Linked DNA regions of Oryza sativa Japonica Group. The main gene of each other region encodes a partner of the protein of the gene in region 2 in a complex. Links are inferred from orthologs where the notes say so. Each region holds a gene or a part of one and is shown on either strand. Other genes may lie near its edges. The genes, in order: dolichol-phosphate mannose synthase subunit 3 and dolichol-phosphate mannosyltransferase subunit 1.

The links.
Region 1: dolichol-phosphate mannosyltransferase subunit 1 (region 2) and dolichol-phosphate mannose synthase subunit 3 share a complex: the UniProt entries of both Arabidopsis thaliana proteins name them as parts of the dolichol-phosphate mannose (DPM) synthase complex. The link is inferred for Oryza sativa Japonica Group from reciprocal best matches to the Arabidopsis thaliana genes DPMS1 and DPMS3.

The regions. Positions count from the first base shown.
Region 1 is NC_089036.1:31,991,627-31,995,450, forward strand, and holds dolichol-phosphate mannose synthase subunit 3, read right to left. Parts: upstream 2,417-3,824; 5' UTR 2,288-2,416; intron 1,905-2,287; 5' UTR 1,886-1,904; coding exon 1,784-1,885; intron 1,689-1,783; coding exon 1,581-1,688; intron 1,208-1,580; coding exon 1,148-1,207; 3' UTR 779-1,147; downstream 1-778. UniProt on the Arabidopsis thaliana protein: Regulates the biosynthesis of dolichol phosphate-mannose. Regulatory subunit of the dolichol-phosphate mannose (DPM) synthase complex; essential for the ER localization and stable expression of DPMS1.
Region 2 is NC_089037.1:35,602,446-35,606,917, forward strand, and holds dolichol-phosphate mannosyltransferase subunit 1, read left to right. Parts: upstream 1-1,497; 5' UTR 1,498-1,683; coding exon 1,684-1,793; intron 1,794-2,382; coding exon 2,383-2,482; intron 2,483-2,588; coding exon 2,589-2,622; intron 2,623-2,702; coding exon 2,703-2,779; intron 2,780-2,878; coding exon 2,879-2,904; intron 2,905-3,203; coding exon 3,204-3,368; intron 3,369-3,449; coding exon 3,450-3,564; intron 3,565-3,689; coding exon 3,690-3,794; 3' UTR 3,795-4,012; downstream 4,013-4,472. UniProt on the Arabidopsis thaliana protein: Transfers mannose from GDP-mannose to dolichol monophosphate to form dolichol phosphate mannose (Dol-P-Man) which is the mannosyl donor in pathways leading to N-glycosylation, glycosyl phosphatidylinositol membrane anchoring, and O-mannosylation of proteins; catalytic subunit of the dolichol-phosphate mannose (DPM) synthase complex.

The DNA.
Region 1 (3,824 bases), on a different chromosome or scaffold from region 2:
GTGGGCTGTTCTAATCCTTATCTTCGCTTACCATGAGGTCTCTGAACATCAATTCCTCCCTCCATAACCTCATGCCAATACTTCAATCTTAAAATTGAAATTGATATTAATCAAATTTTGAGCATTTGCAGGTTGATTGGATTTGCTTCGTTGCTTTTGCTGGCATGGCAGCTGGCCTTGTCATCTACTCATACAAGCCTTCCTTCTTCATCTGCCATTGCTTCTGAACATGCACATAAGATACATACTTCATTCATACCAAAATAAATCAATTTCTGACCACAAACCTACACATAAGGAATTGATTTATTTTGTGACGGAGGGAGTAGCAACCAGCTGTGACGATGTCACTACTCACCACTGAGAACTCTTGCAAGCAGGGGCTCCAAGGAGGCGGAGAGTCGGAGACGATGATGAACCAGCCTCCAATAAGGAGGTCTCGTCGTTGGTTGCTACTACCTCAAGGTAGTAGTAGGTAGGATTCTGTCTGCTGCATCTGCACACAATTGTGCTGTAACTGAAAATGTTTTACTATGTACAGTGTGATAGCTGGTTCATAGGGGCAAGGTTTGGTGTGAACTGTGATGATGTGTGATATTTTTACTGTCAGATAAGCAAGATAGGGTTAAGAACTAGCATAGGTTTACTGCATAATTTAAAAGTATACGTGTATCATGTCTGATTTTACTATTGTTTTGTAATATTGGTCAAGGCTTCGTGCCTGCCTGACAAGTTGTAATGCAAAAGATTCAGAGAAATTTCTATGGACGATCTGATGTACAGAGTATTTCAGGCAGTCGGTTTCAGCACTGTGCCAGGGACAAGGTAATATTACACTGCACAATTGATACATAACCACTAGAGGGAAATCCAGAAATGAGGAGACAAACACCCTGAACAGTAATGCACTTGTCAACAGACCATTCCTACTTCACAATCATATTTCATTTTCCATAAAAAATATTTCCTAAAAGAAAAAGGTCTTAAATTCAGTATGTAACAAGGACTCACCATGAAAAATTGTGTTAGCAAAATGATCATTACGAAGTGACATATACCTAGCTATAAAGCCCCCAAAACAACTCATATAAGGGAGCACAAAGTTGTCCCCAAACTAGCCTCAAGTCATCTATCATCGATCTTGACATTATTCAGAGCCAACATCAACACCTTTCTTTGATAGGAATTCCTTTGCCTCCAAGATATCCTGCAAATTAAGTAAATACAACTGAGAATAGACTAATAATTTCTTTGAAGCAGAATGGAAGTGTGAATTATCTCAATATCAGTTGGGTTGTTTCCTTTGAATCATGCAACGGCAATTGCGAAGATTTTCATGTTACCATAGTGCAAACTGCATACTTTAAAAATATTCATTTACATCACATAATAATACCTTGAACACCCATTTCTCATATCAACAGAGAATAAAGGGGGGAGATAGAGTAGGAAGTCGAAAATTTTCACTGGTATATACTAACTAACATCTTCAAGTCATAGAAGTCCTAGTTTCAAACTAATTAAGATCATCATAGGCCCATGCACAGAAATTTTAGGCTCATGGATCTAGAACAACTAACCTGCTGTAGTAGTACAGCTTCTTGCGGGCAAGTTGGGAAGAACATAAGCCCAAATCCAACCATAAAAAGGCCATAGCATCCAAGTGCCACTACCAAGTAGATGGGAAGCTACAATAACAAAAAGTCATAAATAAAGCCCTTATCCTTAATCATCTTGCACTACAATCATCAAGGAAATTGAGATGAAAATTGATAGCACTGACCAACCAAGTATAACTTCGAGGAACAGTCGCGGTTTCAAGAAGGGCAATCCAAATAGCTGAGACTGCCACCAGCATAGCAATTATCTTGAATATGTGCTTCATTTGGGAAACCAAGTGTTTTCTGCCAAGATAAACCAAATGAGAACGGCAAATAAAATGTGCCCGAATGTTACAGTCTCAAAAGATGAATTGCAAGCATAATTGCACTAGCAATTCAGTATGCTAGCACTAAGGCAGACCCATGGCGAGTAGGAAGTCCAGCAGACTTAGCACAAGCATGAAGGGGCGGATCCAACTTGGGACACGGGGATTCAGTTGAACCCCTAAACTTTTTGGGGAACAAACAAACTGTTACTTGTATTAAGGTTAAGGCTCTGAAATTAAGAGAAGATATTCTTCCAGATCTAGAAGAGAAGCTAGGGTTAACGGACGCAAGCAAATTCCAGACAAAAGTACTCCCGGTGGGAGAGAGAGATAAATCGGAAAGAGGATGTGGATGCTCACCAGGATCCCCTCCCCTCCCGCGCCCTGCTCTGCTCGCCAATGGAGATCGGCGCCCCTCCCCTGTTCAGCCGCGAGATGGCGCAAGGAGCGGAGGCGGCGACGACGAGACGGGAGATTTTGTTTTACGCCAAGGGAAGGGGGAGATAACGGAGTGCTCCACCTTTTATCTCAAAATTTTCACTTTAAAATTCTTTACGATAACTGGTAAACCACTTGCCAGCAGTACTCACGACGATAAACTTCTTGGATCCCTGGCAACTAACTGTCGCTCTATACACCAGCACCACACCATCGTTACTCCACTCTGCCTTCGTATGCGCAGCCATACACTTTAAATCTCGACATGTATTTTCTCTTCCCTCATTGTTATACATGTTATTGTCATGGTCGTCGTTAAGGATGGGATTGTTGGGCTTACAGGGCTCGGGGAGGCAGGAGCCAACCCAACAGAAAGCGAAGATGCTAGATTTGGACTCCTCCTTACTATATCCGACGATTCCCCAATTGTCGAAGGAAAAAAGAAAAATGAGAGAGAGAGTTAGTGTGCAGAGTGATTGCAGAGTCACTGATTTGGAGGTGGAGCGATGGTGGAGTCACCGGACTTGGAGTTTGATGGATAGAATGAGGTGGTCCAAATTGTAACAAAAATGTAAAGTTCGTTTTTGTGTAGATAAAAAGAATGTTTAAAGGATGATATCACATCAAAACTTTTAAGGATACATGTACAAATTGTAATTTATTTATTTTTCTCTAGCACAATTAAATATGAGTTATCTATTAGCAATAGTCTCGTGCTATGGCAAGCCCACTATAATTTGTCTCCACGGTATGATTGGAGATATATTGAAATATTATGTGAATTATGTGGGATGATGATTAAACATGCTTGTATTAAAATTAATAAATTATAAAATTATAGATAATATAGCATGCTTACATGATGTTTAAGATGTAATAATTGTTAGTGGATGATGATGTTATGCTTTTGTTAGTAACCCTCTGTTAAGTGCTATAAATAGACTATTTTACCGATATGAATTGTTGAAAGATGAATAAAAATTTTTACTCTTTTAATCAACGTAAATAATTTAGCGTAAAGAGCAAACTACAAATTAGTGTAAACTAATGGAAAGAGTAAAAGTTTTAGTGAACTTTTAATAATTTGTAGGGGTAAAATGATTTTATTACAACACTTTACATAGGAATGCTAACGAAAACTCAATAATGATGGCATTTCTAAGGCAAAAACGCTTGTACTTAGAAAGTTAAGTTTATCGATGACATTTATTAGATTTTCTCTAAAATAATTAGATTGTGCTTCTCAAGCGCATGAAATGCTTAGCAGACGCAATGGATTTGGAGGTGGTTCCGGTTGGAAACCGGATCCTCTGAGGGACGTCCGACCATGCTGATTCGTTCGATCGGCATCGGACGGGAGCGATGGAACACAGGAACGAACAAGCTAAGCTGTCGCGGCCCACGTAAGAAAAATCGGCCCACGAAGAGGCTTGACTGCCGTCCGCCCGTCTCCACTCTC
Region 2 (4,472 bases):
CGAGTGCTTTGGTTAACAACATTGTGGAACCTATAGGCTATGTATAATTTTAGTGTGGGACCCCCGGACCAAATCACATTGGACACCTGATCCAACCCAATCAAATAGGCAAAGCAAGCAACCAGAATGCAAGACGCCTGATGGCCGAATGCTAATTAATGCCAGATGCCTGACGGCCAAACACTAATTGCAATCTGCATCCCACAACTTAATTTATTAAATTGATGGATTGCTTTCAGATTAATTAGGGGTATTGGGCATTTTGTTTATTCAATTATGTGCACTGCCACAACTGATGCTTACCGTTTACACTATAATCGGTAATCGGCAGTCAGCCAAGTCCTTAGGTAATTAACTGATAATTGCTTTGTAGAATTAATTTGTGTGATCGGCAGTCCACCATGTTTTTAGACATTTCCTGAGGAAGCATGACTGATATGATACTTGTGAGATGCTTAGCAAGCAGAATTCATAGCAAGTAAAATTATCTCCTAAACAAGAGCAAATAACATAGCGAGACGAGAGAACCAACTGACTAAACATTTGGGGCCCCGTATCATAAGCAACCCTGCCCAAACCCTAGGTAAACAATTTTATGACCCCAAAATAATAAAAGCACAAAATCTTTATTGTTTGAGGATTTAGGAAGAGAGGACATCACCTTAACCTGGAGTCTGTACTGCGTAGTGCCGTAACCCACCACAGCTCCCCGGCGGGCGCACGCGAGGAGGAGCCGGCCGACGGCGATCCCAAAACTCCAGAGGCCACGCGCGAGGAGGCGGCGGCGGTGGTGGAGAAGGCGCCAGCCGACGGCGAACCTGACTCACCGGCGGCCGCGAGGAGGCGGCAGCGGCGGGGTAGGGCGAGCGTCGGGCACGCGCGAGGAGGTGGCGGGGTAGGGGGCGCGGCTGCGGCGGGTGCGCGCTCGGAGTTGGCGGCGGCGCCCGGCGGTCCGGCGGGCGCGTGCAAGGAGGCAGCGAGCGGCTCCGGGAGGCGGCGACGGGCTAGCGCACGGGAGAGAAGTTTTTTTTTTCTTTTCTGCTTCTTTCTCGTGATCGATCGCTATATCGCTATAACCGCTGCTAATCGAACGTGGGGATGGCTAATTGCAGAGGTTGATCTAACTTTTGATATAAATCGTTGGATGAATATATTTAAAGGTCAGTAAAGATAGGTATTTGATGAACTCGTGCTTTTTATATTAGTATAGATATAGATGACGATGATGACCGTTTGAATGGGAATGCTTGCTTATGTAAACTGAAACGGTCTAGACTGGAGTTGGCACGAAATGCGGTGCTTCCTGTGATTGGCCTGTCCATTCTCCATTGGATTGCATGGTTGGTCTTTGCCAAACCATACCGTTTCTCTTCTACAGGCGCATACAAAGCGTTTGCTTGTCATGGGCTAGACACGGCCCATGGAAACACGTCCATGGTCTGGATACGGCCCACGCTGCGGCCCTATACATCTCAATGGACCTTGCGGTGGCGAAGCAACTCCTCGACGAGACTTCACGCCGGCCGCCCTGCTCGTCGTCGCCGGCGGCATCTGCGGCGCGCGCGCGTCATCCTCATCCCCAGCTAAGTGGCCTCACCGTCACCGAGCGCCCGCGTCGGATCGCGTGCGGGAGAGAGCGGGGGGCGGAGAGATCTGGTGCGAGGTCGAGTCGGGGCGCCGGCGATGGCGGACGACGCGGGCGGCGGCAGGCGCGAGTACAGCATCATCGTGCCCACCTACAACGAGCGCCTCAACGTCGCCCTCATCGTCTACCTCATCTTCAAGCACCTGCCGTAACTCCCCCCATCTCTCCCATCTCTATCCCCCCATCTACTGTTGATCTGTTGCTCTTCAGTGGATCGGAGAAGGTTGTTGTCAGATCCGGATTAGCCATTCTTTTAGATTCAATTCGCGCCTCTTGTGATTTCACAAGAACATATGGAAAGTATAGAAGACGATTACTTATTGATCCAGTGCAATTGAGACGATGTGATGATTTGATCACTTTCAGATTTTAGCTATGCTCTCCTAGACACCCTTCATCGGTGCTCCTGAGTGCAGCTAACTTGCTCAATTGTGCTAATAGAATGCTGCGAAGAATGTTACTTTGCATGTTGCTTGTGTCAAATGGGCAGATAGAAATCCATCCAACTCTTTGAATTGAGTGATTATTTAAGAATGCCACCAGACAGCATGCTTATGTTCAGTCTACAGTATATATTTCATCATCGATTTATACTGCTAGCGTTCCATCAGTATTCAACTCATTATGCCCGTGTGTTCTGCAGCCCTGTCCCTGTGTCTCTTTATGACAAGGCAGTTTTATTTATTTTGTGAACTCTTTCGAGTTATAGTATCTCAAACTTTAGATTTCCTCATCAGGGATGTCAACTTTGAAATCATAGTTGTGGATGATGGAAGCCCTGATGGAACTCAAGACATTGTAAAGCAGTTGCAGCAAATATATGGTGAAAACCGTGTTGTAAGTATTTTTGTATAGTGCTCCCTTTTGTCTAGGTCTTTATATATATATGATTTGTCTTGGTATCATGGCTTCCTGATATGTGTTTGATCTGACATGAGACCAGCTGCTGCGAGCTAGACCGAGGAAGCTAGGACTTGGTGAGCTCCTATCCTCCATTCAAGTCTAAGGTGAATTTAGTCTTCACATTTGAGTTAACTAACAACTGGAAATGGTGCAGGTACTGCATATTTACATGGACTAAAGCATGCCTCTGGGGACTTCGTTGTTATCATGGATGCTGACCTATCTCACCATGTATGTAATTCCTCAGTTTTTCTTCTATCTGATATTTGGCATGCTTAAGCTGGTGTTTTCTTCCTTTTTGGTTGACGCCTTTTTTCCTACTCTGAACAGCCGAAGTACTTGCCAAGCTTCATTAGGTAAGCATCTTATCTTTGAAGATGTATTCAATCCAGAATTTTCTTTGCAAAAATAGTCTGCTATAGCTCATTTTCCTCATCAATATGCTTTTGTCAACTCTAAATGGAATTGGTATAGCCGTATAGGTATTAAATACTTTAGTGTTGCTGAAAGATTGTTTGTGTCAGATGTTAGAAATATCTGAAACTTTAGAGCAAAGTCCATTACAGTTGGACTCTTACCAAGGCTACTACACTGATAAGAAGTAACTTAGAAGAACCTTTGCCCTTTGGGTTAATTGTCCTCTTTGCATCACCAGGAAGCAAAAGGAAACTGGTGCTGATGTTGTAACTGGCACCCGTTATGTTCAGAACGGTGGTGTCCATGGTTGGAATCTCATGCGCAAGTTGACTAGCAGGGGAGCAAATGTTCTAGCACAAACATTACTACAGCCTGGAGCTTCTGATTTGACTGGATCATTCAGGTGTGTCTCCTTTTCCTACAATAGAGTAAGCTCCACATAACTACTATTAAATTGATGCAACATTGCGACCTGATTTCCTAGGCTATATAAACGGAATGTCCTAGAAGATTTAATCTCCTCGTGTGTCAGCAAGGGATATGTTTTCCAAATGGAAATGATTGTTAGGGCTACCAGGAAAGGTTATCACATTGAAGAGGTAGATTATGTATTCCCATTTCTCTTTGTATGATTGTATTGTTTTTTTTTTGTACCTGGCTATATGGTAGTATTGTTGGCATGCTGCTTCTTTGAATGCTGAAAATTGTGATTTATATTTTTCAGGTTCCAATAACTTTTGTCGATAGGGTTTTTGGAACTTCAAAACTTGGTGGATCTGAGATAGTTGAGTATCTGAAAGGCCTTGTTTATCTGCTGCTCACTACATAGGGAAAAAACCGCTAGGCGCTTAACTGTATCAGACACAACTCGTGATAGAGGAACTTCAATTTGTTATATCTACAGTTTTGAGTTGCGTGAATTACTGATTTTCTGACTTGCCAGTGGGTTCTCGTACAGTGTATTTGGTGTGTAAGTACACTTTCATGAGCAAGGGCAAGAACACAATTGTACCATCTATATATGAACTGCAGAGAAAGCTTTGGGTACGGTTGCTTGTGTTCTACACTTTTTTTAGGTAAACCTCAAAGAGGACTGGGAGCAACTGTTTTCATTGAAGAAGAAGAGACTTGGCCCAGTTTAATATCTGAATGAGTATGGTTTGATGAACGAGACTCTCATGGTCTGACTCGTACACGAACTAAGCAAGATTTATTTGATTTCAGTGAGATCACCAGGATATCAGGCATTTGTTTGGACGTGTTACCCCTGGAAAGTTGATTTGGGCGGATGATCATTCCTGCTGGAGTTCATCAGATCGGTAAATAAAACGGCGAGACACAAACAAGAGAGAAAAGGAACAATGACAAAATTTCCTACACAACCTTAAATGGAAACTGTGGCATATAAAATGGCATCAATGACACCCATATGTTGGTCGAAATATTTTCGTAAGCATAAAGAGGAATAATAATCATGAGATCTTTGCATCTTACATCAAATCAAAAT